Rattus norvegicus: one gene and its partner. The protein of the gene in region 2 purifies or fractionates together with the protein of the main gene of each other region. This does not show direct contact. Links are inferred from orthologs where the notes say so. Each region holds a gene or a part of one and is shown on either strand. Other genes may lie near its edges. The genes, in order: Ripk2 and Nod1.

Region 1 (13,716 bases), on a different chromosome or scaffold from region 2:
GCAGTGGAGAAGTATTTGAAAGAAATATCTGAAAATTATCTGATGAATGAAGGACTCATTCAAAATATATATGGGGTTCTTAAAACTGAATGATAAAAATGAAACACTCAGTTAGGAAATGGACTCATGAAAAAGCTTTTCACGGATGGCTATACGGGTGACATGGGAAGCACATCAAAAGATGGTCAAAAATCTCCAATTCCTGTCCAGTTTCTGGTCTGGAAGCTGAGTTCTAATTATGCAGGGAAACTGGGTAAGGGGTACATGAAGCCAGGTTCATTTATAATTTCCTATGACTCTACCCTAATTTTAAAACAGAAAAGAAAACAAAGGTAAAACATTTTTGACAACTGTAACTAAGAAACACAGTGAATTGCTATTTTGTACCAAATCCTGTCTCTAAAGTTTAAGAATAACTGAGCCTTAAGCCAGGGCTGTTGTTGTTGTTGTTGTTGTTGTTGTTGGTGGTGGTGGTGGTGGTGGTGGTGGTGGTGGTGGTGGTGCATACCTTTAATCCCAGCACTAGGAAGGCAGAGGTAAGAGATTCCTGAGTTCCATGCCAAGCCGGGATACCCATGAACCCGTTTCATATAAAGTGCCTGTCAGAGTGGAGGAGCGGGATGGGGATGGTGTGCAGCTGAGAGGCCTCAGAGGGCAGTGAGATCAGTGAGACAGCTCTTTTACAATCTGTGGGAGGTGAGTAGGGACTATGGGGTGAGGGTACATTGTTGGCCAGGGTCTGGGAAATGGGGATGCCCCATTTGTATAAGGAGGAATTCCAGGTCCTGCTAGACATGGTCTTATAAGGCAAGAGGAAGTTTAATTTGGATACAGGGTTTCACGACCTCCTCTGGTGGGGCAAAGGTGAGATGGGGGCTCACAGAGCTAAGTGTGCGGGGACATGCGGCCTACCCTCCATGCTATCCCATAGCTTCCCCAGTCCCACAACAAACAAACAAGAATAACCGAACCACTTCAGGAAAGGGGCTGAAGTATGGAGAGCTGAAACCACCTAAGTGAATGAATCTTGCTGACAAAGAGCCATGAGCATGTATATTAAGGACCCCCAATGCCTCAGACCCATAGGAATGCAAAACCCCTGGTCCCATTGCAAGGTTGGCAGTTTGTGCAAATGCTGGGAACTAGAGCTTCCTCCCCTGGATCTTTGCAGCCTGAGATTGCTTCATTCCCTCACCTACCCAGTCAGGTTTCCCAGCCCCAAGCCACAGGGAGGTGGTATTGAAGACAGAAGTTAAGATACTAGTGAAACGCCTTTTCAGAATTATTAAGAAAAAGACCCAGAGAAATCCACACCCCAGCCCCGCAATTAGTTACCTTAACATGAAATTCATTATCCAACAAGATATTCTGAGTCTTTAAGTCATGATGAAGCAGAGGGGGGTTCATATTGTGCAGGTAATTTACACCAAGAGCAATTTCATGCAGGATGCGGAATCTCAATGGCCATGCAATCTCAGGATATTCAGTTTTCTTTGTACAGTGAAAGAAATAAAATGAAAAGTACTACCTTAATTTAGCAGTTAAAAATTAATAAATCCACGAGGAAACAGATTACAAACTAAGATGAAATGCACACTCAATTTTATAACATAGTATCAATTGATACTGTTTCATATTCTTATATTTTAAGTTTTAGAATTGTTCCTGATAACGACAGCAGTGGTGTTTTTCTTCTTCTATTGGCCATGCCATTGCATGGCATTCCTGTCTTGTTCTTTAGAAGAAACCGCTCTCAGTTATTTGTATGTATATACAGACACATGGTTTTACACTCTCCTGTACCACCGAGTTCCATGGCTTCATCTAATCACTTAGACCCATAAGCACATGCACACAGAGAAAAACATGTATCATTGCTTCTGACATGCTAAGCCATCCATTCAAAATTTTAACTCTTCATATTCATTTAAAACTATAATTGTCACATAATCTCTACATCAATTAAAAATTGTCAGTGTATTACATTTATTTGGAGTGTCAATATGTCATATCAGCAAAACATTTAATTTGTTACTATAGTTTGTGTGTATACATGTGAGGGGGTACATGTGTCAGAGTGTGAGTGTAGAGGTCAGGACGACTTCCTGAAGTGAGTGCTTCCCCTGCACCTTGACAAAGGCTTTGGGCTCAGCCTCAGGTCAAGGTTGTCTTATTGGGTGACAGTGTCTGTGTCCTTCTGAGTCACCCCACTGGAGCTCAGACTTTTTCATAACACAATTTATTGACTTTACCTCTTGAAACATTAACTTTTGGGAATTTTCTTTTTGTGAAATCTAAGACCACTTTTGTTTCTAAACCTATATTCACGTGAGTTTCTTTAAAAATAATTCTTTCTGAATAAATGAAGCTCACTCGGTTTCCCAGGAGAATGTGTACACTCAGAAAAATCAGACACTTTGGAAAAGGTGGTAATGCCAATCAGGCACCATACCCATGGGTTCATTTTTAAAAAAACATTAAGCAAAAGTCACTTTTTTTGGAAGTGCTAAAAATGGCCTTATGATCCTGAAAACAAACTTGCTTAAATTTCAGTTACCAATTGGTAGGGAGATGTTTCAAAACATTTTAGGCTGTTTTTATAGTATATCTCCATTTTTCATTCAATGATCTTTTATGATGTGAGGGATGAGTGCTTCAAGATAAACTCCATGGTGAGTAACTAGTGTATAATTCAGGGTACTAGACTAAGGAACCGAAAGGAATAGGAAATTCCAACGCAGAGTATTACTTCCTTGGGAACGCATACGCTTAGTGCCTAGGAGTAAGCGAATCTTTTGTTGGTCTGTACAAAGGCAACTTTTTCAAAACACTATGAAGTTTAAAGGAGCAACGGGGCCTCTGCACGGCAGTGCCATGTGGGACTTTTCCTCATGCAGTCAAGGGGACAGTGGCAATCTATGCTTTACGGTCACATCTAAGAGTTAGCAATACCCCTAGCGAAGGCTACAGAATTTCCAGTAGGCTCCAAATCTGGGTGCCAGAATATCTACAGGGATGTGGAAAGAAAAGATTAGAATCTCTGCTTAAACTCCAGTTCTCAAACAACCAAAAAGAAGCTGATTGGTGGAATCTTTGTGAGTTGACTGCTGGGGCAGGTACACAAACCTTACAGACTGACACGAGTTACTTTAATCCGTCTTTGTTTCAGATGGTCACAAGTCATGAATAGAATGCGATGTATTCTGAAACAAAGAGGAAGTCACTCCATGAGTGGCTGACAGCGGTGCCCACCTTCCCTCGCCTGCGTAGACAGCACTGTGGCATAGTATAATGCGGGAGAGCCACAGGTGTTCAAGGTAGTATGCAACTTTAATTAGCTCAAATCCTCATAAAATGCAGCATCTGACCTAAAATGATTTCTGAAAGAAAACGCAGACTGGAAAAAAAAAATCAGTGTGTAAGATTAAGCAAAAATAAAAATAGAATATATGCATTTTGAGAATGAGGACTCCCAAGTGTGTTTGTTGATAGGATTCACAAATAAAAGTCAGAGTAACTCATACCTTGGGAAATAAGTCAGTACTGGCTCAAACTGCTATAGATGGAAAAATGTCATGTATCACGTCACTGAAGATAATTTACTTGGTCCACTAACTGCTAATACTTAATTTGGATCCTAAATCATCACTAATATAATATATGACTTAACAGTGAACTATGTAGTATGAATTTCTTCTATTTCCCATGCCTACCTGGTATGATTCATTTATACTTGCAAAGAAATATGGCTGAAGAACAAAAATATTATATTTAGCTTGAGCAGACTGAACAATGGTTAAAGCCACTGAAAACAAGCAGTACTCACTCTGTGTAGAAGCTCATTTAATGATCCGTTTGGCATGTATTCAGTAACTATGCCCAAAAATTCAGGCTCATTGCAAATTCCCAATATTGGAAGAATGTAACTAAATCTTGCTTTATGTAATATTTCGGCTTCTCGTAAGATATCATTTCTTTCACTAAGGGGAAAAGAAGACAATTATTTCAGATAATGAAAAACACCTACAAATACCATGCACACAGATTAATTAAGTTTGGATTTCTCCCACTAATTAGCTACGTAGCTTCAACGTCTGTGTCCCTTAGCTTGACCATATTCAAAATAGAGATGCTATCCACTGTCTGTACTCTACTGGTCTGTTAGAGGGCAGTCAAAATAACTTGCATTAACCACTGGTGGGAAGAGGGCTACGCATGCTGATGACTGTACTTCCCACGAACAGTCAAAGCGCAGCACATGGGTCGTTACTGTGCTTTTTCTAGGAAAGGGAAGGAACAATGTAAGAGGAAGCTCCAAAAATCCACCTATGTTAGAATGACTGATGCTTGAGCTAATTCAATTTTCGAGATTATTTTATACTAAAAGGAACACATTTGATTAGAAGAACATTACATTTTATTGTTATGTGCCATAGGAAAGTTTTCCAAACATGAACTCTAAAACATTCTAACATTGGGGATGTAATAGCTTAGGCCAGTGGTTTTCAACATTCCTAACGCTGTGACCCTTAAATACAGTTCTTCACGTTGTGGTGACCCCCCAACCATAAAATTATCTTTGTTGTTACTTTGTACCTGTAATTTTACTACTGTAGTGAATCATTAATGTACATATCTGTGTTTTCTTAGGTGATCATGAATAAAAGTGATTATCAAATAGTGCTGTGGACACATTTTATCACATACAAAGACAAAATGGCATCTTTGCCTTTAAAGGCCCATAATTCAGATAAGGAAAATAAATAAATAATACAAAGAATAATGTGATAATTACCATATATTTTACATATATAATATACATATATAAATATATATTTATATAACACAGAGAGAGAGGAAAGAGAGAGAGAGAGAAAGAAAGAGAGAGAGAGAGAGAAAGAAAGAGAGAGAGAGAGAGAAAGAAAGAGAGAGAGAGAGAGAGAAAGAAAGAGAGAGAAGCAAACTATGGGGCATTCAGAAGAGAGAGAATTTTGAGCATGGTAAAGTCACCACCAGTCTTCAAATAGGTAGACTTTCAATGGAACCTGAAGTATGGCTAGAATTCAACATCAGAGAGAAGGCACAGGAAGTAAACGGGGCCTCCACCACAAGCAAGACCTTGCTTCTCTTTTGCACACGTGTGTATCCATCCCCAGGACTTACAGCAATGCCTACTATCGAGCAACAGAGTGCATGTCTGACAGCCACGTGTCAAATGAATTGGGGAAGTGAAAGTAAGGCTGTGACTGTGCCAAGAGAGCTAGGTTATGAAAGAGTGTCTGTATGGGAGGGTGGCATAAGTGGCATGCTGGGACCCTAAAATGCCCCGAACCACTTTGTCTCACGTCAGGTGCAATGGAAGGTTTGGAGCGAGAGAAAAGAAATCAGTAAAAGAAGGTATAAAGGTCTTGGTTCAGGAGATGGGATTGAGAGAAAGAGGAACAACTTTGAAGATTGTAACAATAGTTCAGATAGAAAGCAAGGGAGCCTGAACTGATAAAGTAGTAGTGGAAAGACAAGAAAACACTGGCTGAAAAGAATAGTATGAGCCAGGACTGACTGGCTATAAGGGACTTCAATGAGCAGAAGCAATGGGGGAGAGCTGATATTGACACCATCTTCTTATGCCCAGATGCATGGGTGTTGGCAGCGATGACATAAATAGAAATGCTTCCAGGAGAAGCCTATTGGGTAAGTGATGATGATTAGTTGGCTCTTAAGAAACCCGAGCCCTGGACGAATGACTGCTGAAATAAGAATACCAACAGACATTCCTGACCAGACTACTTAAAGCACACGGAGAGACTCAGGGACACACACCCAACCATAGTTAGAGGTTATTAAGTCTTTGAGTAGGCAAAATATATTATGCTTCTAAATTCAAGAGGTGCAAGGCAACATAACCAAGTCCCTATTCTCTGTCCCTGATCTCAGCTGTAAAGAAACCAGTTCTATCAGTCTGTGAAGCTCATCCAATTAAACTTCAATTTCTCAAGTTCTGTGTTTGCCCCAAGAGATATGGGTCAACAAGACAGTTGCTGTGTAGTGCCTTACAGGATGAACCCAAAGATCCCTGGACACTTGAAATGAGAGGGCACAGTGTAGAAGTTCCAGTGACACATACATATAAAATAACCTTTCCTCTTTCTGTCCAAAGTATGAAATAAGGGATTAGGAGACAGCACAGTCGGTAAAGTGATTGTCATACAAGCCGGAGACTCTGAGTTTAATTCCTAATACAGACAAAAAAGCCAACAATAATGAACACTCCAAAACATTAAACACACACACACACACACACACACACACACACACACACACACACACACATACACTCTCACACTAAATGGTGGTCCTGAGGTGGTCTTGAGGAACAACACCTGAGGTTGACCCCTGGCTTATACATCATGCATGTGGAGCAGCACATGCATCCCCTACGTGTATATACACATGCATGTACATATACACAAGAAAAGGTATGATGTATTCGTCCTCCTTGTCAGCCATTTTATATGCACTCTAAACCCTGGGCAACTCTCTAGAGCTGGTTTCATTATCTCCATTTTACATATGGGGCATCTACAGTTAGAAAAACGAATGATCCTTTGGTGACCACAACACAAAGCGACAGGTTTTAAGTCACATTTAAATTGTAGCTCTGGTAAAGTCTGTTTTTCCTAGTCTACTGTTTGATGAGAAAAGCAAATCAGATGGTTTGTGAGGTTAGATTTCAACAAGATTGAGGGGGAAAATAAAAGCAAAAGATTTTTAAAATATAGCTTCAATAATTATATCACTAAAATTACCCAACTCAAAATTTCAATAGGAAACAGCTATCCATCTCTAGGGTACTTGAACAGCCAACAGGAGTCAGCAGTTCACTAAAGCGGGAAGATTGCTATGGAAGTCCCACTCATTGGCTACGGAGAGTGACTCACTAATTGTTAAAATAACATGTAACGTCACATAAACTTATTTTCTTTTCAGGTAATCTTAAAGAACAATGGGTACATTATCCACACCAGAGCACCACAAGTATATGTATAGTGTTTATTATTCATATTTTATAGGTGAGGAAGTAAGATACCCTCAGAGTCAATTGCATAATCCTAGGCCTGTGCTCATGGAAAGATCTTAGACAGCAAGATAAAAGAGTGCAATGCAGTAGGGCAAGGGGGTTTTGTTGGTCTTATAAAGGTATTTTCCTATCTAATTCAACGGAATTATACTATGAAGTGGTTGGCGAATTTGGGAAAGCAACAACTTTTTTCCCATCTTTATCCCTCGGCCTACAAATGACACAAACAAAGCTTAGGTAAATTTAAGCCTTGAAAAGCAGAAACCAAAGTAAGAAAAATCAACTAGCTTTAGTATAGATAGTGGTCTATTAGTGCTACATTTGCATAGACTATTTGCTTGATTCCTAACCAACCTCCCTTTTAATGTTGACTACTGTGTGTTCATGCATGTGCGCGCGCACACACACACACACGCACACACACACACACAGAGCACTGGCTCCATTGACTACTACAATGTGATCTTGCCAATAATGGAAAAAAAGAGCACAGGCAGATGAAAGTCTAACATTTTATCAGGGCTGAAGCAAGAGAATTATTTGATGCTGGAACTGCCCTGATACCCAGCATTAATGGCCTCTGACCAATAGGGCCACTATGATATCTGTATTTCCACACTAGATCCAGGAGAAGAGAACACTGCAACCACCAGTGTTAGCAAGTGCACTAAGGACTGAATGAAGGTCCGGCTCAGTTTCTGATGGAAGAAAAATACGAAGAGTTCTGACTAGACCCATTGACTAACACATACAGTCACAGATCTATGGTATTTAGTTGTAATGTTTTCCTGGAAACAGAAACCAATGCTTTTTTTTTTTTTCTTCTTCTTCTGAATATATGGGAGCTGGATCCAAATAATGCCAGGACAAGGGATGGTCAAATTTGTTTTCAATCTTCACAAGTTTTGACCATTTAATAGCTTTTGATTCATCTTACTGTTACAAAAACAGAGCACACTTCCTTTGGGGACTTCCAAAGCAAGAGCTCGAATAACAACTGGTAATGTAGAATTTGATATCCGAAATTCATGAGTGCACGTAATAAACCACAAACAAAACAAAACCAACCAAAATCCAACCAAACCAAGACATAATACGCAGGCTCAGGAGCAGCACTGCTCAATAAAACTATGGAGTGAAACACACATAAAACCCTAGAAAAATATTTTGACGTTTAATCAATACAAAAACTACACACACACACACACACACACACACACACACACACACACACACACACACACAGGCGCTAAATGTTCAAAATCCGGTGTGTATTTTGCACTCACTGCTTAGTACTTCGTTTCGAAGAGCAGTTGCCAGAGCCCCACAGCTCTTGTGACTAACAGCTAGCTAAAATAGAGCAAAGCCCACAAGCACTGTACCAACACACTTTTAGAGGTGGCCGTGATTGCAGGGTTCTGGAGAGAGAGAGAGAGAAAGAACACCTTGGATGGGAGGAGAGGCAGGGCGGTGGAGAGGCGAGTTGCGAAGTCTGACGCAGGTCCAGGACAATTTCTCTCTTGGGCCAGGATAGCCCAAAAACTTAAGGACTCGCCGCGGCGGAGCCGGCGCATCACCATCAGTGCGGTCAGGATGATAACGCGTCGGCCCGCACTTGCGTGGGGTCCCACGTCCGCGCCCTACCTGTCGAGCAGCGGCGTGTGAATGTGCAGGTGCTTCACTGCCACCCGCACCCGCCAGTCCGCGTGTCTTGCCGACGAGACGGTGCCTGAGGCGCCGCGGCTGAGGTAGTGCAGGTCGGCGAGCTTGTGGTAGGGGATGTGGGGCAGCGCGCTGCAGATGGCGTCCCCGTTCATGGCTCCAGCTGCGCAGCGGCTCCGCCCGACCCTGGCCGCGGCCCGTGCTGCGGTGCGCTAGGTCCCGGGGCGGCCCATTCTCTGCAGTTCCGGCCCGGCCGGCTGTCCCTGGGAGCCCGTCGGGTCTGCGGCCGCGCCGAGGCGGACCTTCCTCCGCCCTCCTCCTGGGTTCCGTGGGTTCCTCCCTCCGCCGGCTTTTCTAGGCCGGGCTCTTACCTTCACCAGCTCCTCAGCCTTCGACTCCTACCCCGACCCCTCCCTCCGCCGGCCCCTCCTCCGCCGGCTCCTCCCTTCTTTAGCTCCTCTCTCCGCGGGCTCCTCCTCCGCCAACTCCTCCTCCGCCAGCTGGTCGGTCCTCTGGCTTCACCTTCCGCCCGCTCCTCCCTCCATTGGCTCCTCCTCTGCAAGCTCCTCTCTTCGCTAGCTTCTCCCTCTGCAGGCTCCACTATCTGCTGGCTCCTCCCTCGACCTGCTCTTCCTCTGTAGACTCCTCCCCCCTTCGGCTCCTCCCCCGCCGGCTCCTCCCCTCGCCGGCTCCTCCCTCTGCCCGCTCCTCCCTCCCTCTGCAGCTCATGAGGTTAACCCAGGCGAGTGTCAGAGGCTTCCCTCCCTCGACAGCCGAGTGGGCACCACTGAGGCCTGGAAAAGTTTTCCTCTGGGGAAAATCCCTCCGCAGTCCTCCAAGCCGGTGTCAGGTGGGTCGGCTGGATTTTCCTTTGGCCTGCGTGTCTTCCTTAGCTTCCAAACCCCAGAAGCGATAGGGTGTGGGGTGACTGGGGAGTCTGGTGACTTCGTTAAGGCCCCACTTCCTGCGCTGTTACTATGTGGTTGCCTTTGCCCCAATCTTTACTCAGTGTCTGACACTTGAGGAGTGAGGTAGAGAGGTCAGCGTTGTCAGTGTGACAAATTGAGGTGTTTAGCTTCTGTGACAAGCTCTCTTACCAGGACACTCTTTCTCCTTTTATTCCCCAAGGCCTATGCACAAATTGAAAAATAGAACCATTTCTTGTGTTTGGGAAGTCTTCTATCCGAGAAGAAAAACAAAGACAAAAACAAAAACAAAAAGCAAAAAACCAAACAACCAAAAGCCATCACTATTTCATCTTTTTACTTTAAACACCTTTCTACTTAAATGACTGTTCAGTACGACGTTTGGGGCAAGTATCTCATATGAGCGATATAGTTCCATGATCCTACACCCACCAGGATGTTGCAATCTGTGATGTGTTCCTTATATTAGTAATGTAATATGTATACAACATCGACATTTCCTTTCCTACACACTAGTTCTTAATAGTTTTTTTTTTTTTACAAGTCTGCATTCTAAGATTATGTTTTCTTGGGCTAGAGTCATGGGTAAGCCATTAAGAGGGCTTTCTGTTCTTCCACAGGACCTGAGGTTTGTTACTAGTACTCGAATCTAGTGGCTCACAGCTGCCTGTTCTCCAGCTCCAGAGAATCTGACCACCTCTTCTGGCTTCTGTAGGCAACGCACATAAATAAAAAATATAAGTTTAAAAATAGGAACTCAATATAATGAGTATATATTCTTAACTAAGAATATATGGGTACATATATGTATGTATGTATGTATATACATACATGGATTTTTGTGAATATATACATTTAATTTTCATAATCACCTAGTTAATGATAGAAAGCTTAAGACATTAATATTGAAATGAATTTACTAGACAAACACTTAAACAAAACAGACAAATTAGCCTCAAAAATAAGTACCACACCTATATGTTGAACTCATTTATTTAAAATCCTACAAAATTATACCTAAATGTTATTGTGAATAAAGTTTATTTGTGTCTTACTACATTAGTTTAGGAAATATCAGCTTTAAGAGATTCACATCTCATTTAGAAATAAGATACAAACATTTTGCAAAATAACACACTTTTTCAAAAAACAGCCCAGTTTCAAGTCAAGTGTAGTAGTATTGGGTTCTACTTAGTTACCATCCAGGGTCATGGATTGAGTTCAGTTTTCCCCAACAATTAAACAATTAAAAGACAGAGGGAAAAAAAATCACAGCAATAGCAAGCAATCAAGTTTTATTAAAAGTATAGTATGTGTGCACACCCATGCACACACATACACACACATATGCACTTGCACACACACATGCACACTCACATGGACATGCACACGCATACATACACATGCACATGTACACATACACACACATGCACACAAGTACACACACACATGCACAAGCACACACAAACATACACTCGACACAGAAGAACAGACTGATCATAAGTAGGGAGGAGATAGATACTGAAATCTGCTTTCCCTTGGAAGATTGGTAGTTCGAGTGTTTTGGTGACATAGGATAGGTTCCTTTCCCCCTCTTTTTGCATTGGTCAGCTTGAAAACAGAGGTGTAAGTCCCTAGTATCTCACTGTGCAAGCTTTGACCTATCCATGCCGTGCCTAGAACATGCCCAGATAAGTCACCCAGAAAGGTCACACTTTCGGGAAAAGCCAGAAGCTTGCTATCTTGTTGATTATCTACACTCTGATTTGCTGTATGCCTACTCTCACTCCTCCAGACTAGCTCCCAGACTGTTGTAATTCCCAGGATTCCCTCCTCCTGGATACTCCCTGTCTCTATATGACAGCAAGTCTCTCCCCTTCTTGATGTGCACACTAGTCTTGAAATTCTCTCTTGATGCTATCTGCTATTCTTGCTTTCCTCACAGATAAATTTTGGACATGCCCAGTCCTCTTCTGTTTCTGTTAGCCCTGGATTCTTGCAGATATCTCTGAATGCCCCTATCCCCCCACCCCATCACAATAAAAACCTTGCTCCCAGATTTTTGTTGGTTTTTTTACTGTGCCCCGATTTACAAAAAACACAAGCGTCCACCACCCCTTCTTATCAAGGACAGTTGACCACCTGTTGTAAGCATTTGCTCCTTTGTTTCCCTTGCTGCAATCAATTGCACCTTCCAGCTTTGAGCCTAAAATATACTCTTCCTTCTGTAGGTTGCTTTTGCAGGGTATTTTATTACAGCAACAGGAAAATTTCCAAGATAGAGCTGATTAAGTTAAAGTCTAGGCCTTAATCAAAGGTGACTGTTGATACAGGAAAAACTAAATCAGAGGTGGTGGCATGTGCCTGAAACCCCATTACTTGGGAGGTTGAAGCGTAGGCTCCTGGGTTTGGAGTCAGTGCGTGGGCCTATGGTACCTAGTATGGACCCCCCATAATAAAGAGTAGATATTTAAATAACAAGATAGCCATGCATAGGGGGATGACAGGTTATAGACACAGGGACAAGGCAACTGCAGTAAATCGAGGAATGACTGAAGTTACCACAGGCTAGGAGAGAGGAATCGCACCAATTATTCCTCAGGGCTGTCAGAAGGAAAATTTCTGTGCATACTGAATCTGTTTTCCTTGTCTAATCTTGCTTTTCTGTCAGTGTGAAACATTGCTTGAGAAAAATCTACCTGAAGGAAGAAGAGTTTATTTTGCCTTGTGGTTTCAGAGCTCCAGTCCTTGGTGGGTAGCTCCACTGCTTTGGGGCCCAATGAGGCAGGACATCACAGCAGGGGTCCTGTGTCATGCAAACCTGTTCACTAGGAAGCATAGAGAAATATGGCAGGACAGGGACACTCTTTGTCCTTCGCAGACAGTGGGCTACCGATACCCGGAGTGGCCTGCTTTCTTCAAGTAGGCCCCTGATTTCTATCAGCCCCTTCAAGTCATGAGCTGATCAATAGATTGCCAACAAATGAAGCAAGCCTCATGACCTCTCGGTAATGCTATCAGCGGGGAAGTAAGCCTTCAGTGCACGGGCTTTTGGAAGGTTGCTTTGTATACAAACCATAATAGTTAATGCAATAGTAAAATATGTAATGTTTTCAGATTGTTTTAGTTTATGCAGCATCATATCCACATGACATTTTGTTTGTATCAATAGCTTTTCATAAATGGCTGAGTAGTACTGCATGGTATGGGTACACTATAGTCATTTAATCATATATTCATCAAGGAATATTTTAGGTTTCCTCAGTATTATTATTATTATTATTATTATTATTATTATTATTATTATATCTTTTTTTTAACCTTTGAGACAGGGTCTCTCTACATAGTCCTGGCTCTCCTGGAACTCACTATGTAGTCCAGACTGGCTTTGAACTCACAGAGATCCAACTGATTCGCCTCTAGAGTGCTGGAATTGAAGGCATTTGCCATCAGAGTTGGCTAAAATTCTTAATTTATTTTTATGTGTATGTTTGTACACCTGCCTGGTACCCACAGAGTCCAGAAAAGGAAATACCTTCTGGAGTTACAGATAGCTGTGGGTTGCCATGTGGATGCAGGGAATCTTCCTCTGGAAGAGCAGCCAGTGCTCTTAACTCCTGAGCCATCTCTCTGGCCCTACAGTTTCATTTAAACAAGCTGATTATATGGTTAGAAGACTAGGTCAGAATGCCAATGAACCACTCCTTTCTTGATCTCCATATACTCTCAAAGCAGGGAGATAGATCAAATTAGCCGAATTAACTGTGTTTAATAATTTCTTCACGATAAATTAAAAGTCTCTCTAGATGAAACCATATTTTAGTCCTTAAATTATGTTTGGCTTATTATGGTAAAGAATACAGAGAAAATAACTTGCTTCAAAGTCCCCTAATTTGATTCATGATTAAAAGAAAAGGGAAATTAAACAGTATTGAATACCTATGACTCCATTTTTACATTTAGTTGCCTATATTATACTAGAAACACTTTATCCTTTTTATTCATATTAATATGATTTTTTAACGTGTCCTAAATAGGTGGGGTGCATGG
Region 2 (17,054 bases):
CAGTTGCTAACCTTACCTTGTTCATTTTTATGAAGTTAACATTAGCTTGGTACCCGAACTGACAATACAAAGAAAACTAACCCACAGGTGAGTGTTCTTGATGAGCATGGGTTTTTAAAAAAAAATGCTTAAGGAAAAAGTTAATAGAATTCAGCCATACCTAAGGGTTGGGAGTCATAACAAAGTGGGGTTTATTCCACAGATGTCATTCCACAGTGTGGTATTTACAAATCTGTCAAACCACTTCAGGGAGAAAAGAAAATGAAAAGGCAGCCACACACCCACTCACAATTAAAGTATTTTAAAAATTAGAAAAGGGGACTAATAATTTAACAGAGTCTATAAAAATTGCAGTCGGTAACATTACACTCAAAATACCAAATGTTTTACCTCTAAAACAAAAGGATCCATGCTCTCCCGTTCAACACAGTGAGATGTTACAGCCTGCGCTGTAACTAGAAGAGAGGAAAGGAGCCCAAAGACTAAAGTGGGCGGGGAGAAGGTGCTGCAGGTAAAGCACGTGCTGCCAAGCCTGGAGACCTGTGTTTGAGACCGAGACTCACATGGCGGAAGGAGAGATATGACCCCTTCAGGTTGTCTTCTGACTTCTTTTTGCTGACAGCTCCCCACCCTTACTTTTGCTCCCTCAATATCTCTGTCTCTCTCAATGTAATAATTAAAAAAAAAAAACCAGTAAGCTAAACCACCCCCATTTATACATGGTTGACAAAATTGTCCTCATAGAGGATACCAGAAAGTTTTTTAAAGCTCTATAATCAATTAAGTCTAACAGGGCCATGGGATACAAGGTGATATACAAAAACCCCACCATGTGCCTGTACACGGGAGAGGAACACATGGGCAGAGGAGGTAAAACGGCTGCACCACCTGGAGCTGGGGCTCAGGAGGCAGCTCGCTCGCCCAGGCTGTGTGCGGCCCTGCACTTCAGTCCCAGCACAGCAGAAGTTAAAAAAGCAATAGTGTGAGCAAAAGTTCAAGTAGTTAAAAGCACTAGCTGCTCTTCCAGGGGACTTGGGGTCTGTCCCCAGTACCCACCTGGAGGCTCTCTACTGGCCTGCACAGGTATCAGATATGCACACAGTACACATACATACATGCAGGTAAAACACTCATACACATACACTAACAACAACTAAGAATACCACTTGCAGGCTTTTTGCTCTATTTTTATGAAATAGCCATTTTAAAAGCATTTAAAAGCATGATTAGCATTTTGTACAGTGTTATAACCATCTCCAGTTCCAAAACATGTCACCTCCCAAGTGAAACCAGGTACAAAAGTCTTGCCCATTCTCCTGCCCTTGTGAAACTCCAGACTGTTCCCCATGTATGTGGATTTAATGGTCGTGTATATTTCGTGGAAGTGGGATCATACAGGTGCCTGTTTCTATTGTCCCTCCAGTGCCATGTCCTGAGCTTCAGCCTCCCTGTAGACACCTAAACCTCACATCTACTGTAGTGACTAGCATGAGTTATGTGCATATGCCACACTTGTTTAACCTTCCTCCCATCATGGGCACTTGGATTGTTCTCGTTTCCAACTACTACGGATACTTCTTCCGAAAACATTTATGTACACATTTTTTGAATCCTACTTTTCAACTATTTTGGATTTATACCTAGGGGGAGGATGATGGATCATATGGTAATTCTATATATTTAACTTACATAACCACCACAATTTCCCACTTGGACTGGAATATTGTAATTCTGACCAGTCATGTACACAATTACACAACTGATTTTTTTTTAAAAAAGGAAGAATTATTAGCTACACACAGTGGTGTGTGCCTATATTCATTGCTCTTGGGAGGTGGAAGAGGGAAGATTGTGTGCTCAAAGTCTCCATGGACCACACAATGAGATTCTGTCTCAAAATAATAGCAAAAAAGAAATGAAGAACATGAAAATGGTGAAGTGTAGATCTTACAAAGCTATGAGCAGGGTGTGTAGTGAAAGCTACAAAATACTGGGGAAAGAAATCAAGGCAGAGATAGGTGGATGGAGAATGGTAACAGTCATGTGTTGAATGAGCCAAAGATATTATTCGTGGGGAAGATCCATGGTAAAATTGTTCCCCAAACCCAGAACAGACTTAGCGAATCTGTTGTCAAAATTGTAACATGATTCATTTTTATAGAACTGTCAAAGTGGAATAGGTAAGGGGATTTTTTTAAATGGCAATAAAATGAGCACTCATAATTGCTGATGAAGGGATGAGTACATAGGACGATGGAGCAGGATGAATACATAGAGCGATGGAGCAGGATAAGTACACAGAGTGATGAAGCAGGATGAGTACACAGAGCACAGAGCGATGGAGCAGGATGGGTACACAGAGCTGAGCAGGATGAGTATACAGAGTGATGGAGCAGGATGGGTACACAGAGCGATGGAGCAGGATGAGTACATAGAGCGATGGAGCAGGATAAGTACACAGAGTGATGAAGCAGAATGAGTACACAGAGCGATGGATCAGGATGAGTACACAGAGCGATGGAGCAGGATGAGTACATAGAGCGATGGAGGAGAATAGAGAACCCAGAGAAGAACCAAGAATACACCAAAGTTAACTTTTGGCCAAGGTAATTTAATGGGAGAACCTTTATAGCAAACGATCCCGAATCAGCAATGGAACACTTTATTAGGAAAGGGAGGATTTTAGATTCTAAGAGTAACTGTTATAAACTGACCAGTTGGGGCTGGAGAGATGGCTCAGTGGTTAAGAGCACTGACTGCTCTTCCAGAGGTCCTGAGTTCAAATCCCAGCAACCACATGGTGGCTCACAACCATCTGTAATGGGATCTGATGCCCTCTTCTGGTGTGTCTGAGGGTAGCTATGGTATACTTATATATAATAAATAAATCTTTATAAACTGACCAGTCATGGTGGCATAGACTATAACCCCAGAACTTAGGGAGGACCACAAGTGTGAGGCCAGTCTGGACTACATAACAAGACCCTGTTCAGGAAGACAGACGGACAGACAGACAGACACTATTAGAAAAAAGATGTAACTGCCAATTTTTAAACTTTTTTATTGTTTGTGAATTTCACATCATGCACCCCAATCCCACTTACCTCCCTCTCTCCTAATACCTGCCCTCCACCCTTGCAACCTTCCCCCAAAGAAGAAAAATAAAATCTCATTGTGGAAGCTATAGTGTGTCACAGTGTGTCATATTTAAACTCTTTTGTCCACACTTTTTTTGCTTTCAAATGGACTCATTAGGTTGAATCCTTCTCTGGTTCAAGGCCTCTGACTTCTGCTACACTATCAATAATGGAACCTCACTGAGATTCTTCTTGGCTGTTTTGTTGTTGCCCTGTGTCATGGAGATCCTGTAGCTTTGGGTCTGTGGGACGAACTCCTTCATGGAGTTAGATATTGGGGAGGGCCAATTCAAAGCTGTGAATCTGGGCCTGAGAGGCATCTGAACTGGTTGCCCGCCAGTTATTCTGCACCCACACCACCGGAGTGAGCTCCTCTGCCTTGCTTTGGATAGGCCATCTGAAGCTGTCATCAGTAAGGGCAGAGCCAGCTCTCCCACTCTCATGCTCTCTTGGCTGGCTCATCCACACCCACACCATCAGGGCCAGCTCTCATGTGCTGCCTAGGCAAGGTGCAGGGCCCACTTTCCTAAGTGTTGCAGCCGGCGAGGGATTGGGCCAATTCTCCTACTCTCATAACCCAGGGCCAACACTCCTGCTTGTCATAGGAGGCAAGGGGCCAGGGTGGGGGAGGGCCTCTCTCCCTGGTCCTTGTCACCATGTGGCAGACAAGTTATGGGCCAGCTCTCCTACGTTCACACCCTCTGGGCTCACTCACCCACTCACAATTCCCTAGTCCAGGGCCAACCCCACTGTGCTTCTTGGGTGATGTGCAGGGTGGTTGCGGACAACAACGAAGCTCTTCTAAGTACTGCAGCTGGCTAGGGGAGGGGACAACTCTCCTAGTCTCACACACCCCCAGGGACAGCTCTCCCATTATGCTCAAGCGAGTGGTGGGGCCAGATCTGTCTGGCCTTTGATGGTAACAGACCCTGCAGCTGCAAAGCCATGGACCAGACATGACCTCCAGTGGCAGCACAGGCCAGGACCACACCATGGTCCCAGGTCCCGGCTACTCACGTCAGGCTCTTTCTCACTACCCTCGAGTCTCCAGTTCTGCCTCTCTTCATTGTGCTCACATCCTTCTGCTTCCCTTTCTCCTCCATTTCTCCACCACTTGCTTGCTCTTCTGGTGGTGCCCAGGGTCTCTCAGTGTCTGGGGTTGTCTCAGGAGTGGTCTCAGAAGTGCTATGTCCTGCTTGTGTATTGTCATTTCTGGCATGGTTTCCCCAATCCCCCACCCCCACCCCCAGGCCTGCTTGGTGCCAGACTGGTGATTGTCTTGAGCTTGCTCCTTGCCTAGGCTGGCCCACATGGCTCCACATGGGGGTTGTCTAGTTGGGGCTCACTTCCACCTAGGGCCCACAGTTCCAGGGTCCCATGCAGAGTCCATCTAGTCTTTGGCTCACTCCTCAACCTGGGAGCTCACCTGGGCCTTTGCAGCACCAGAGTGGTGGTCTTCTCAGGCTCTCGTGTTAGGCTAGTAATCTTTCAGTTCATAGATCAGAACACTGAGCATAGACATAGTCTCTCTTCTCTGCCACCCACTGACATTTATGTCACACAGCAGACACACCAGCAGTGCCTCTAGGGGCAGGGGAGCTGCCAATTTTTAGAATCTAGGAATTGGCAGAGTTCAGACTTGACTCCAAAAGTATGACCCATTGAAAGGAAAACCAGTAAACTGGACTGCATAAAGTGAAAGGGCAGGCACAGGGCTTAGGCATATAGCTCAGTTGCTAACAGTCCTTGCCTGGCATGCCCTGGACTTGGTCCATGGTGTCTGTCCATGGTGGCATTTGTTTTCAATCCCAGCTCTTGGAAGGAGATGCTCAAAGTCATTATGATGGTTTGTATATGCTTGGCTCAGAGAGTGGCACTATTAGAGGTATGGCCTTCTTGGAGTAGGTGTGTCACTGTGGGCATGGGCTTAAGACCCCCATCCTAGCTGTCTGGGAGTCAGTATTCTGCTAACAGCCTTAAGATGAAGATATAGATCTCTCAGCTCCTCCTGCACCAGGCCTGCCTGAATGCTGCCATGCTCCCACCTTGGTGATAATGGACTGAACCTCTGAACCTATAAACCAGCCCCAATTAAATGTTGTCTTTATAAGAGTTACCTTGGTCATGGTGTCTGCTAAGACGATCATTTTTGGCAATAGTTTTAGGACAGCTGAAACCCTGTCACAGAGACAGAGAGAGAGAGAGAGAGAGAGAGAGAGAGAGAGAGAGAGAGAGAGAGGAAGAAGAAGAAGAAGAAGAAGAAGAAGAAGAAGAAGAAGAAGAAGAAGAAGAAGAAGAAGAAGAAGAGGAAGAAGAGGAAGAAGAAGAAGGAGGAGGAAAAGAAAAGGAAGAAAGAATTGGGAAAAATATTTACAAGCCACACATAGACACTCTCAACACACAACATTTAGGAAATGAACAAGAGACACAGAGACGTGTTTTCCTCAAGAGAAGACACAGGTGGCATGTAGGCACATGCACGAAGTCCAGCATCATCAGCAAGCTAAAACCACAACGATGTCTCACCAGGACCATACAACTACCCAAATGGCCAATATGAAATGGGACAGCACCAGACGCTGGAGATCCGCTAGGAAGCAGTCACTTGGCTGGTCAGTAATGGAAATGTTAAATGTTCTGGCTATTTCAGAAGACAGCTCAGCAGGCTTTTGAGAAATTGATGACAAAGGTGAAAATAGCCCCCAAAAGGTAAAGAGTGTTTTTAAAGTGCTATAGGAACTCATGCCTCAGAAGACTGCCCAATGACAATAATAAAAGGGAAGTCACCATGGATACAAGCAATGGTCTAGGTGAGTCCTCTTAGGATTATACAAAATGAAAACAAAACAATCGCAAAATAATAGAGCTGGCGAGGCTGCTCAGTGGGTAGAGGTACCTGCTACCAAGTCGGAGTTCAGTTGGCCCCAAATCTGCATGGTAGAAGGAGAAAAACAAGTCCTGCCATTGTTCTGTGACCTCCACATGTGCATCATGACATGTATGTACTCATACACTTACACACACACACACACATGCACACACACACATGCACGCATACACGCGCGGGTGCATGTGCAAACACACACACAAATGTAACACAGGCTTTCAAAACGTTATCTCTAAGTGCAGCCTGATTCCATCTGTTTAAAAGTCTTGATAACTTCCTAGAAATGGGAACAAGTTTATGGTTTCCAGAGGCTGAGTACGGTGTAGGATGCTGTAAAAGGATGCTCGTGGTGGACCTGTTCTGTATCTTGACTCGGTTAATAGTCTGTTTTCTGCTTTCCGTAGTTTTTGTGCCGTAGCTCTACAACACTGGGCCAAATTGAATGACAAAAATGTGAATCTGCATTATTTCTTCCAGTTCTTTATTAATTTACAGTTATCACAATATTAAAAAAAAAGTCCCGGGGTTGGGGATTTAGCTCAGTGGTAGAGCGCTTGCCTAGGAAGCACAAGGCCCTGGGTTCGGTCCCCAGCTCCGAAAAAAAGAACCAAAAAAAAAAAAAAAAAAGTCCCAAATAACAAGTAAGGGAACAGCTGTCTCAAAAAATGTAGATGATAGTGTTAGCAAAAAGAAGACTAAGAATGAGCAGTGGGCAGGCGGTGCACAGTGCGATTGGCCCTGGATCCGTCTCCAGCATTGCAAACAGATCAGACTTAGAAGAAAAACTTTCCTTTCAGTCACTTAGCCACAGCACTGCAGCACACTGCAGCACACTGCAGGGGGGGGGGGGGTTCTCCTTTCTCGCAAGAACACCATTACACACCGCCCCAAGGTGCTTGCAAACTTTCGGTTTTGCTTTTCTCAGAGGGTCAACTTCATGCGAGTTTTCATAGCCATGACTGTATGTGGCCACAAATCTGAAAGCACTTTTGTTTAATTGGCAATAATGTTTAAAAATATTTATTCAGAAGGTTTATTCGCATGTAATTCCTTACAGTAAATAAAGAGGCTCTAGAATATTCGTGGTCAAGAGAAGACTTAACCACAGACCGGGAGAAAGCCTCTGTCTCTGAAGTAGATCAAACTGAAATTTGTTTAGTGTATAACAAGCCTTTCTGCCCGGGTCCTGGCATTGGTTGTGGTTACAGGCGCTGGGTGGCACTCTCAGGGGGGCGGGCCTTGGCTCTCGGCGCCGGAGCAGAGCTGGCCTGACGAGTTCCCAGGGTGTCACCCCTGGGCTAACTCCGAGGCCTGCCCACTCCCCCTGCGCAGTGGCCGCTCGTCCTGGTGCAGTGTGCGGAGGCTCCCGCCAGGGAAATGGGACAGGGGGCAGCGCTTATGGCCGGTCCCCGCCTCCTCCGCCCTCTCCGCCCTGTTCCCTCCCCTGAGCCCACCCGAGCCTGGGCGCGGCCGGTCCTAGTCCCCGCCAGTTCCTGATCCCAAACCGCGAGCGGCAGTGCTGCTGTGCCGCCAGATCTGCGACCCTAGTCCAGGATCCCTGTGCTGAGAGCCGCCGTACTCCAGGGCCACCTGAGCCAAAGTCCTGCCAACTTGGTAAGTCATGGGGTTTGGCGCGGTCAGCTCTGTAACCAGCTGAGGAAATGTAAGGCTATCTGTGGAAGAGCTATGGCTGAAACCCGATGGGGAGAGACCCCGTGCCCCATCCCTCACCCAAGTTTCAGAATCAGCCCTAGTTCAGACAGCAATGGAATCTAAGGCCCGCGTTTTCAGACCGCCTGCCTGCAACTTAGAATAAAGTGTGGACTTAGCAAATCCAGACGCCCAGACTATTCGACAGAGTTCTGTCGGAAACTCTATAAACTATTGCTTCAGAGCTCCCTGGGTGATTCCGATGTGCACGTAGGATTAGGAGCCTGAGACCGATGGGTAGCCTCCAAAAGAAAGTGCCTGCTGACCTGGACCTTCCTGAGTGCAGCCTGCAAACAAGCTGTCTCTTCCAGGAACCTCCAGTGGTCCTGGGGACAAGGGAGGACTTCCCTTGAGTTTCGTGGGATACAAAAGAAGGAAGCAAGACAATGCTTGTTTGGCAGAGTTGCCCGAATTTCAAACTGAAAAGGTCCTAGAGTATGCAGTGTTTTCATAGGTTGTAAAAAGCACAAAAATGGATAGATAGATTGCCGAGGACCTTTGGTTCTGGATCGCCTGAGTTACTGGTATTCGAAATTGCCTCGGGAAGCCAGAGAACCCTTGACAACCGCCCTCCATCCTTTACGGGTGAAGCCAAAGGTATAGAATGGAGTCTGATTGCCTACTCAAAAGCAGCCTTTCTGCTTTAGAGGTTGAGAATACCTGGAGCGTCACTTCCAGGATGTCTGTCGGAGAGGAGAGGTTTCAATGTTGTATCTGGGAGCAGAGACCAGTGTGGCAGTTGTGATCCTGGAGCCACTGACAAACAGACATGCATCCTCATGTAATGCTGGCCAGAGAAGAGGCAGACTTAAAACCCAGGGCAGGGGTAGAAGAGGGAGGGCCCTTGCAAAGGCCACAAGAGTTTTGTTTTCGTAGAACGTAGACCCAGTAAACCTGGTTCCAATCTTTGAATCTGTCGCTTGAGTGATGTGATTGGCTGCATGTTAAAAATGACCCGTGTGAGCCTCTCTTTTCTTACTGGTAAAGCCTAGACAAAGAGAAGCTTAACATAGGCTAAGGTAAAGTCCATCTCACACACTATGGTCCACAGCAGGGGCTCTGTTACTGGAAGACAATTATCTATTTGGTCTAGCCCCTATGACGGAGTGTGTTTGTCCAGAAACTGTCTTCCTTAAAGCCTCACTCTCCTGCTATTCTATACCAAATATATTTTTAAGACAGCTGGGCTGTCAGCGAGAGTCAAGGTTGATGCAGCACACATGGCTTTCTTGCTGGCAGTCGCCTGAGAGATTGCACCCAGCGTCCCTGTTCTGCTCTTGACTCTTGTCCAGGGGCCTCTTTCATCAAAGACAGTCAGGAATCTGTAGAAGAGAATTCCAAATCCTACCCTTACTGATACCTACCTCCCAGCTGAAACTGTTTCCCAGCTGCCCGTTCTGTTGGGAGGACTGTCACTACCAGAGCAACGGCTGTAGCATTGTTTAGATAAGATGTTCAAAAATGTAAACTGTAAAGCCACAGAGGCATGGAGATCAAGTGTCCATAAGAGTATTTGTGGTCATTGATATTTGCTTCAACAAAAATAAGAAGGGTTCGCTGCTGAAACGAAAGGCATTTGATTCCTAGGATTGGAATGACAGTTTCTTCTACCCCTCTCCTTTGGAAGGTTTTAGGCAAGATGAAGTTAGGAAACCAAATACGTACTTGTTCTGAACTGCTGCCACAGTGAGCTATAGGTGTTTTGCAAATTTCCAGTGTCTTGTTGTCTTTGAGGTTCTGCAGAAAGCTAGTTGCATGCCCTGTGGCAGTCTGCTCTTAGCCACCTACAGGTTGTGACTGTCTCTGTGGAGGCTCAGAGAGGGCAGGCGTTTCATCTAAACTTGGCTCTGTTATAAGACGAATAGTTGCTGTCTTTTCAATTAACACATGGATTCAGCCAGTGCTGGAATACTGGCTAGCACGAGACTTCCTGGCTTGGATGCTTCCTTAAACTAGGATTTCATCTAGAATTGGCAGGCACCAAACTGTGGGCAGAGTCAGCCACAGCAGACTTGCCACCACCCTCCCTATTTGTCCTACTGCCAACCAATGGGGTGTGGGCTGCAAACGGATGGGGCGCTGTCCCGGCCTTTGATGGAACAGAGCCCCTAAAAGAGATTCACTTCTTTATAGCCAACAGGGGAGCGAAGTACTATCTTTCCTTAAAACCAACAGGCTACTGGTCAAACTCACTTTAGAGTTTGTTTTGCTGTCAAGGGATTTCCCTCTAAACAACAGAGAGCTGTATTTTAAAGGAGTAAGGACATGGCTGAGGACAAATGCACAGGGAATAATCCAGTGAGCGCCTGATTAGCGCCAGGTCTTGGTACCTTACTTCTACATGATGGAGACCGAGTTGGACACTGAACCTAAGACTTTATAGATACAAGGCAAGGGCTCTGCCATCACCCTCTTCTTACGTCTAAAACTTTGAATCAGAGTCTCACTAAATTACGCAGGTTTGGGGTCCTAGCACTTTCACCTCCTGAGTAGCTGGAATATATCTATACTATGTCTATCCCTATATGGTTATGTCTGTATGTCTATGTCTAGCTATTTATATATAGAGATTACTCTCTCTATAGAGATCTGTATCTCTATATAGATATGTAGATATAGTAGACATATCAACATATATTTCTGTATGTTGCTATGTAGTTTAGAATGGAGATGTCCCTTGCGGTTCTGTTGTATTGTCACCACCACAGAGATTAGGGTTGGAAGAAGTAAGGGTGGTAGTTAGTGACTCGGTGGATGCTTTAGCAGCCGTGTGCTGCTAGCTAAGACAGTCACGCATTACTGAAGAAACCTCTTTGGTAGACAGTTGTGAGAAGGTGGCATTTTACTTGGGAGACTATGGGTGTCATTCCAATTCCCAGAAGATTAAAAATGGCAGTCGCCAAGAACTTCTGTGCTGTGCTTCACCTTAATACAATCTTAACTTTTCTCAGTGACCCATGGAGCAAACTCTCTGGAAGGAACTAGATAGGAAGCTAGGCTTGCCCTTGCGGATAGGTAGTCTCTGTATACTACGGGACAACAGATCCCTCCTTGAGAGGATATTCCTGGCTCTGTTTAACAATGCGGTTTTAAATTTTATTTTAGTGTTATTGTATTTCTGAGGCAGGGTCTTACTAGTAGCCATGACTGGCCTGGAACTCTCTCTGTAGACCAGACTGACCTCTAACTCATACTGATCCTCTTGGTTCTGCCTCCAGCATGCTGGGTTTGAAAGCAGACATCATCGTGCCTGCTACAATGGAGATTTTAAAACCATGCAGTCAGGCTTGCTCTCTGAGGCTTCAAGTGCCGGCTCCTGATCTCTGTAAAGCAGAAGGATGTGGAAGAGGCCTCAGGCTTCACACTCAGAGTGGGGGTCACACCACTGTTTTCTCCCTTAACTAAAGGTGGTGTCTCTCCTCCATTCATAAAATAGGACATCCTTTCCAAACGGGTTGTTTTGAGCCAGTGATGAGCTAATCTGTGAAGCACTCTCCCCCTTGCCTAGCTTCCAGTAAGTAGTGATTACTGTGGTGACAGTAATAACCATGGGTGCTGTGGCTCCAGGGCTAGTTTTGCCATCTCCTCGTGTGTGTGACCTTGGACTGGCATCTGTAAAATAGGGGTCAAAGCTCATCATGATGCTAGGGTTGGTGAGACGGAGTGATGAAGATGTGGCAGACTGCAGATAGTAAAGATGAACTCCCCCAAAGATTTGCTGTGTGCCACACTGGGCTGAAGAATTCACGATGAGCTATCGGTTTGTTGCATCCAACACTGTACACACTTAGTCTTCTCAACACCCAGTAACCCTTAGTTGCGCCTCCCATCTTCCAGGCGGGACAGCTGAAGTCCCATGAGGTTAATGAACTAACCCCAAGTCCACAGTGTTTGACTCAGGATTTGAAGCCAGCCCAGCAAGCCTGGTTTCTTAATCTCCGCTGGATGTTCAGCGGAGCCCCGCCCTCTGCTGGCCCGACCCACCTCTCCAGCCTCCTACCTGTAATTAAGGGCAGGTGTGCGCACGTTTCCTTCAGAGTGGTGTTCCTGCCTGTTTAAGGAGTGAAGTGGGGGCTTCCTCTTGTGCCCCTCAGATGACTTAAACCCCAACCATTGCTTGGATGTAACTGAAAGGAAAAATGAAGTGAAACAAAAATATAGAAAACTCAAAAGCCTTGTTACCATTATAGACCTAATTTTATTAGGGCGGATTATAATGTTTGCTTTGTAATAATGTCCCCTGGATGCAGTAAAGTATGCCTTTATGGTGGGCAGGTGTGTGCGTGGGTGAGGAGCACAGAACCCTACCTGGGTGAGACAGCGGCAGAGTTTAAGTCGTTCTAAGTACACCCCAGTTTTTGAATTTTTTACTCATCTCTCCCTCTCCTGCATCCCAATGGTTTGTTTCTCTTCTTGAGATCTCACAGCCTTCCTAGAGGTCTGTGTGGGGTAGGGTGGGGGTGGGAGGCAGGAGAGTAAATGTCAAGAATAAGTGGTAGGTGCTTTAGCATATCTTAGAATGAAGTGGGTATTTCTAGGGCTGTGAAACACTTGGTTGGCTCCTCAGTCTGGTTGGAAGACTGACGTAGAACTGTACCTCCTGGTTCCTCCTTGCTCCGTGGAGTTTCAGTTCTTCAACATGTTAATTCACCTATCACTGGGAGCAAGGATGTATTAATACTTGGGAGCTGGAGGGAGTGGTGGTGGTAATAACACAGTGATAGAATGTGTGTCCGGCATTCACAAGGTGCTGGGTTCAAGCCCCAGCATTACAAAACTCAAACTGAAAGCATAAGTCCCAGACGTTGTTTTGACTGAGTCTGTAGTGCATGCTTGCAAGGCCAGCAGTCTGGGGCTAGGCCTGGAAGAGAGCGGTGTGGAGAGAAGTCTGGGCTAAACAAAGTGTGTGGACTAATGGCATGTACAAGCTAGGATGGTCACCTGTATGGAAAACTATCTTAGGTTGTGTGTTCTAAACAACAGCTATTTATTTCTTTTAGCCCTGGAGGCAAGGAGTATGAGATTAGGTCTCTAGTGTGGTCAGGAACAATGGAAGTTCTCTAACTTGCTTACAGGTGGGCACCTGTGTCCTAGTGGGACAGAGAGAACAAGATAGCATTCTCTGTCACTTCTTATAAGTCCCCATGGTATCATTTAAACCTAAACATTACTCAGGGTCCTCCCCAAAGCTATCATGCTGAGGTTAGACTCATAAATGGAAACATGGACACTCAGTCGTTAGATAGGCAGGATGTGAACGCACAAGAAAATACATAATTATAAAATGTGCTGCTGAAAGGGGAAATGACACCTCTTCCTGAGAAAGAACATTCCTAGAGCTAGAGGCCTGGAGGTTTCTCTCTAGGGAGTCCTTCAACAAAGGGTTAGGGATGTACACAGGAGGGGAAGAGCATTTGGGAACTGGGGAACAGCAAGCCTGAAGCTCAATGTGGGAAGGAGCTACGTGGTGAGGATGAGTAGTTAGTGTGGGTATGAGTAGTGAGTGGTGGCCCTTGTGGTGAGGCCTGAGGCAGAAGAGAATGAGAGGAGCTAGAGAATGAGCTACCTCAGGCTGAGCAGGCTCCTGGGCTGAGAAAGGTCAGAGACTTTTATTCTAACATGCAGTAGAGGACTACTGAAGAGTCCTCCTGTAACTGTTCCATATTGTCAGTCTGCAAGCAAAAGACTACGGGAAAGTCTCAGCAGGAAGAGAACAGGAAGGCCTCGTGTGAGAAGGCCAACACTTACTTCTAAAACAGACCTGCTCTCTGGATAACCAGTCCACTCCCTTGAGAACCCCATTGCAACAGTCAGTTTTCATTGCTGTGACGAAATACCAGAGATAATCAACTTAAAAGGAAAAAGGGGTTGGCTTGGTTCATGGCTTCAGAGGTTTCAGCCATGACTGCTTGGTCCTGTTGTCTTTGTGCCTGTGATGAGGCAAAATATCATGACAAGGTGCTGGAGTCATGGTGGCTGGCATAAAAGAGAGAAGGGTCGACTGAGGTCCTACTAGTTCTCTCGGTGATCTGATACTGTGGCATAACACCCTTCCACCTACTAAAGGTCCTACTAGTTCTCTCAGTGACCTGATACTGTGGCATAACACCCTTCCACCTACTAAAGGTTCCACCATTTCTCAGTAACACACAGGTTGGTGACTATCAACTTCAATATGTGGGCTTCTTGGGGACATTTAGTTGTGGTCCATTGTGAGGATGGGATCCACATGACCCAGTCTCTTTCAAAGGTCCCACCTCCACATGCCACTAACGATGAGCTTGAAGATCAGTTTCCAACACAAACCTTTTGGGAGTCAAATGGTTAAAGGATATCAACTCTTGCACACTGAAGTTAGAAACCTTGTGCTGTTCCACTCCGGTACTGAAGAAAAGCAGGAAGGGGTGGGGGGTGGGAGGAGCAGGCCTGGGTTAAAGCAGGGAACAGTCTTGAAAGGGGTTGAGGGAGCAAACCTCTGTTAGAGAGTGACAGAGCTCTGAATGTAGGCAGAGTTTTCAACTTGGGGATAAGGAATCTTAAACTCAGAACGCAGTGAAAAGTGGGCCGAGAGCTAAGGGTGCCCCGCCTGGAGTCTCTGCTCTGGAGTTTCTGACACAGATAAGTGTGTGTGGACTCTTCTAGGCACTTGAACATCCTTCATCCGGAGCGCCAGATTCTAGTCCATCTTAGCTCCTGGAAGCAAGGACAAAAGACTTTCCAAAGTGAAATGAGGTTGGGACGAGGCGGGGTTAGAGGTTGCAGGCACAAAATGCTAGGTCCCCATGGCTCTAGGACAATATTTCAAGCATCAGTTCTGCCGTCTCTGGCTGAAAGAAGTGCTTTCCCCACCTCTATTATCTTTGAAAATCCAAATTCATCTACTAGGGAATTTGCATGTGGTTGGGAGGCACCTGGTTGGTTTTGTTTTGCCTTTTTGTTTTTAGTGATGGGGTTTGAACCCAGGATCTCCTAGGTGTAAAGTATGAGCTGCACTCCTGAGCCACAGACCCAGAATCCAGGGTTTGCAAAGAAAAAAAATTGTTTTGGTTTGACACTTTTAGGTCACAAAGATATGCTCTACTGAAGGGGAGAGCCCCACCTTGGCCTGCTGTCCTACAGCTAGGTGGCTGCACCATCCTGCCCTTCTCCGTTGCATGCACTGTGGCTGGTTAAACTGGTCTCCCTGTGATAGGAGCTCACTCATCAAGGCCTGCAGGCTGTGCAGGCTCTGAAGAGGACAGTTTGGGATGGCGGTTCTGTCATCTCAATGTCTCATTGACCCCCAGGGTCCATGCACACTGGTCCTCTCCATTTGGAAGCCATGACAGTTTTGTGGCCCTGATTCTGCTAACTGTGCACCTATGTTCAGGTGGGGCAAGACAGATTTCATGGCGCCCTTGGCCAGCAGTCAGCAGTGTGTTTATTTGTTCGCAGCCAAGCTCCACCTTAGGCTTCTGAGGTGAGTAATACATGCTGTTCTTAAGAAATGCCTTTCTTCTGAGAAGCCTCAGACACTTTCTGGGCACAGATCTGCCCTGTGCATAGCATCTCTCCCCCCCCCCCTCTCCAAATTAAAATTTAAATTACGAGTATTTATTTATTTGAGAGGGGGAATTTGTGGAGGTCAGAAGGTTAGGGTCTAAGAATTGTTGAAGGAAGACCCCACCCCAGCCTCAAACAGTATGCAAAGGCAAGAGCATTTATTCTGCAGAAATTACCAGCACATAGGGGTCAACCATTCATCAAAATGGCGGTGACTTGAGTAGGCCCCTTTTATGCAGGTCTAGGGGAATTTTCCAGAAGGGTTAGGTAAGCTTTAATATGATTAGTAGGTCCAAAGCAGTGACATTAGTACAGTTTGATTGGCTGCTCTGTTGGTTGGTGAGGCCTTGATGAGTTTCAGAGACCTTTGTCATCTCCTCCAGCCAGCTGTCCCAGGAGCTCACTCCACACTTACCTCCCTAAGTCAGGGCCTTCATTGACTAAAGGGTCATTGTTTATGGATCCTTCTGAGGAGCCTAGTATGCTTCCCTGCGAATTGAAATTTTTATCCCCAAGGTTTTTGGACCTTTCAAGAGGATAATTAGTGGGAATCAACTCTCTCCTTCTCCTGTGTATGACCCAGGGATTGAACTCAGGCCATCAGCTTGGCAGCAAGCTCCTTTTCTGAATGAGTCATGGGAACATGGGAAACACTTCTTTGTCCCCTTTGAGGAATTCTAGGGATGGCTAAAGCCGTTCATTGTATTGCTCTTCTCTATGGCTCTTCTTATTAGGATGTTTTATTCGCTGGCCCCTCAGCGCTGAGCTTCAGGCAGGATCTTTTTCAAAGCCTGGATTTAAACAGAAACAGTATCTTATCAGTTGAGCATCAGTCTTAATAAGGGGCAGGGCATGGTCACTGTCTTAGTTGGGCTTTCATTGCTGTGAAGAGATACCATGACCAGGCAACTCTTATAAAGGACATTTAATTGGGGCTGGCTTGCAGGTTCAGAGGTTCAGTACATTATCATCAAGGCAGGAGCATGACAGCATCCAGGCAGATGCAGGAGGAGCTGAGGGTTCTACATCTTATTCTGAAGACAACTAGGAGAAGACTGGCATTCTCAGGCAGCTAGGAAGAAGTTCTCAAGGCCCGCCCTCACAGGGACGCACTTCCTCCGAGTGCCACTCCCTGGGCCAAGCATATTCAAACCGCCACTAAGCGGCAAGTGAATCGGTTTCTAGTCATTGCACTTATGATGCTTTGGAAAGTGAGATCTGGCCTCTAGTTATGTTTTCCCTCTTCCTTCCTACCTTCTGTCTTACTTTCTCTCATTTCTAGCTCAGGCTGGCAATCTTCCTGCCTCAAAAGTGCTAGGTTTACAGGTCTGTGCCGCCATCCCTGACTCTCCAGTTATCTTTTTAAAGGTGGAAGATGTATGAGGGACCTAGAGCAGCAGGAAGTGCCTAGATGCAAACTTCCAATGTCTACTGATAAACTTAATAGGTGCTGCTTCTGAAGTGGTTCTGAGAACTATGCAGACACACGGATGTCCCTCATGGCCAGTATCTCTTGATCGGTGAGAAGATAAGTAAATTATAAAAGAAAGGAAAGTACCACCTACTACCTCCCCCCGAAGCAGTAAGGATAAAATATCAATTCCAAGTGGGGAGAAATGGGTCTAGAGGAGGAACAGATTGAGAAAGGATCTGGACCTTCTCTCGTTCAGTCCCTTTGGAAAGATGGGGGTTAAAGGGACTACTCTAACTGCAGGAGCCCTAGGTTCCAGTTTTAGTGGGCCTATAAAAGTCTTTATCCAGCCAAGGGTCTCACTTTC

The links.
Region 1: the proteins of Nod1 (region 2) and Ripk2 purify together in Homo sapiens (affinity purification with western blotting; 4 studies listed by BioGRID and IntAct, with this or other methods). This does not show direct contact. The link is inferred for Rattus norvegicus from reciprocal best matches to the Homo sapiens genes NOD1 and RIPK2.

What each region holds. Positions count from the first base shown.
Region 1 is NC_086023.1:34,450,635-34,464,350, forward strand, and holds the start of Ripk2 (receptor-interacting serine/threonine-protein kinase 2), read right to left. Parts: upstream 9,030-13,716; 5' UTR 8,896-9,029; coding exon 8,723-8,895; intron 8,712-8,722; exon of another isoform or gene 8,524-8,711; intron 3,981-8,523; coding exon 3,827-3,980; intron 3,204-3,826; exon of another isoform or gene 3,127-3,203; intron 1,492-3,126; coding exon 1,336-1,491; intron 1-1,335.
Region 2 is NC_086022.1:85,432,150-85,449,203, reverse strand, and holds the start of Nod1 (nucleotide-binding oligomerization domain-containing protein 1), read left to right. Parts: upstream 1-7,529; 5' UTR 7,530-7,638; intron 7,639-17,054. UniProt on the Homo sapiens protein: Pattern recognition receptor (PRR) that detects bacterial peptidoglycan fragments and other danger signals and thus participates in both innate and adaptive immune responses.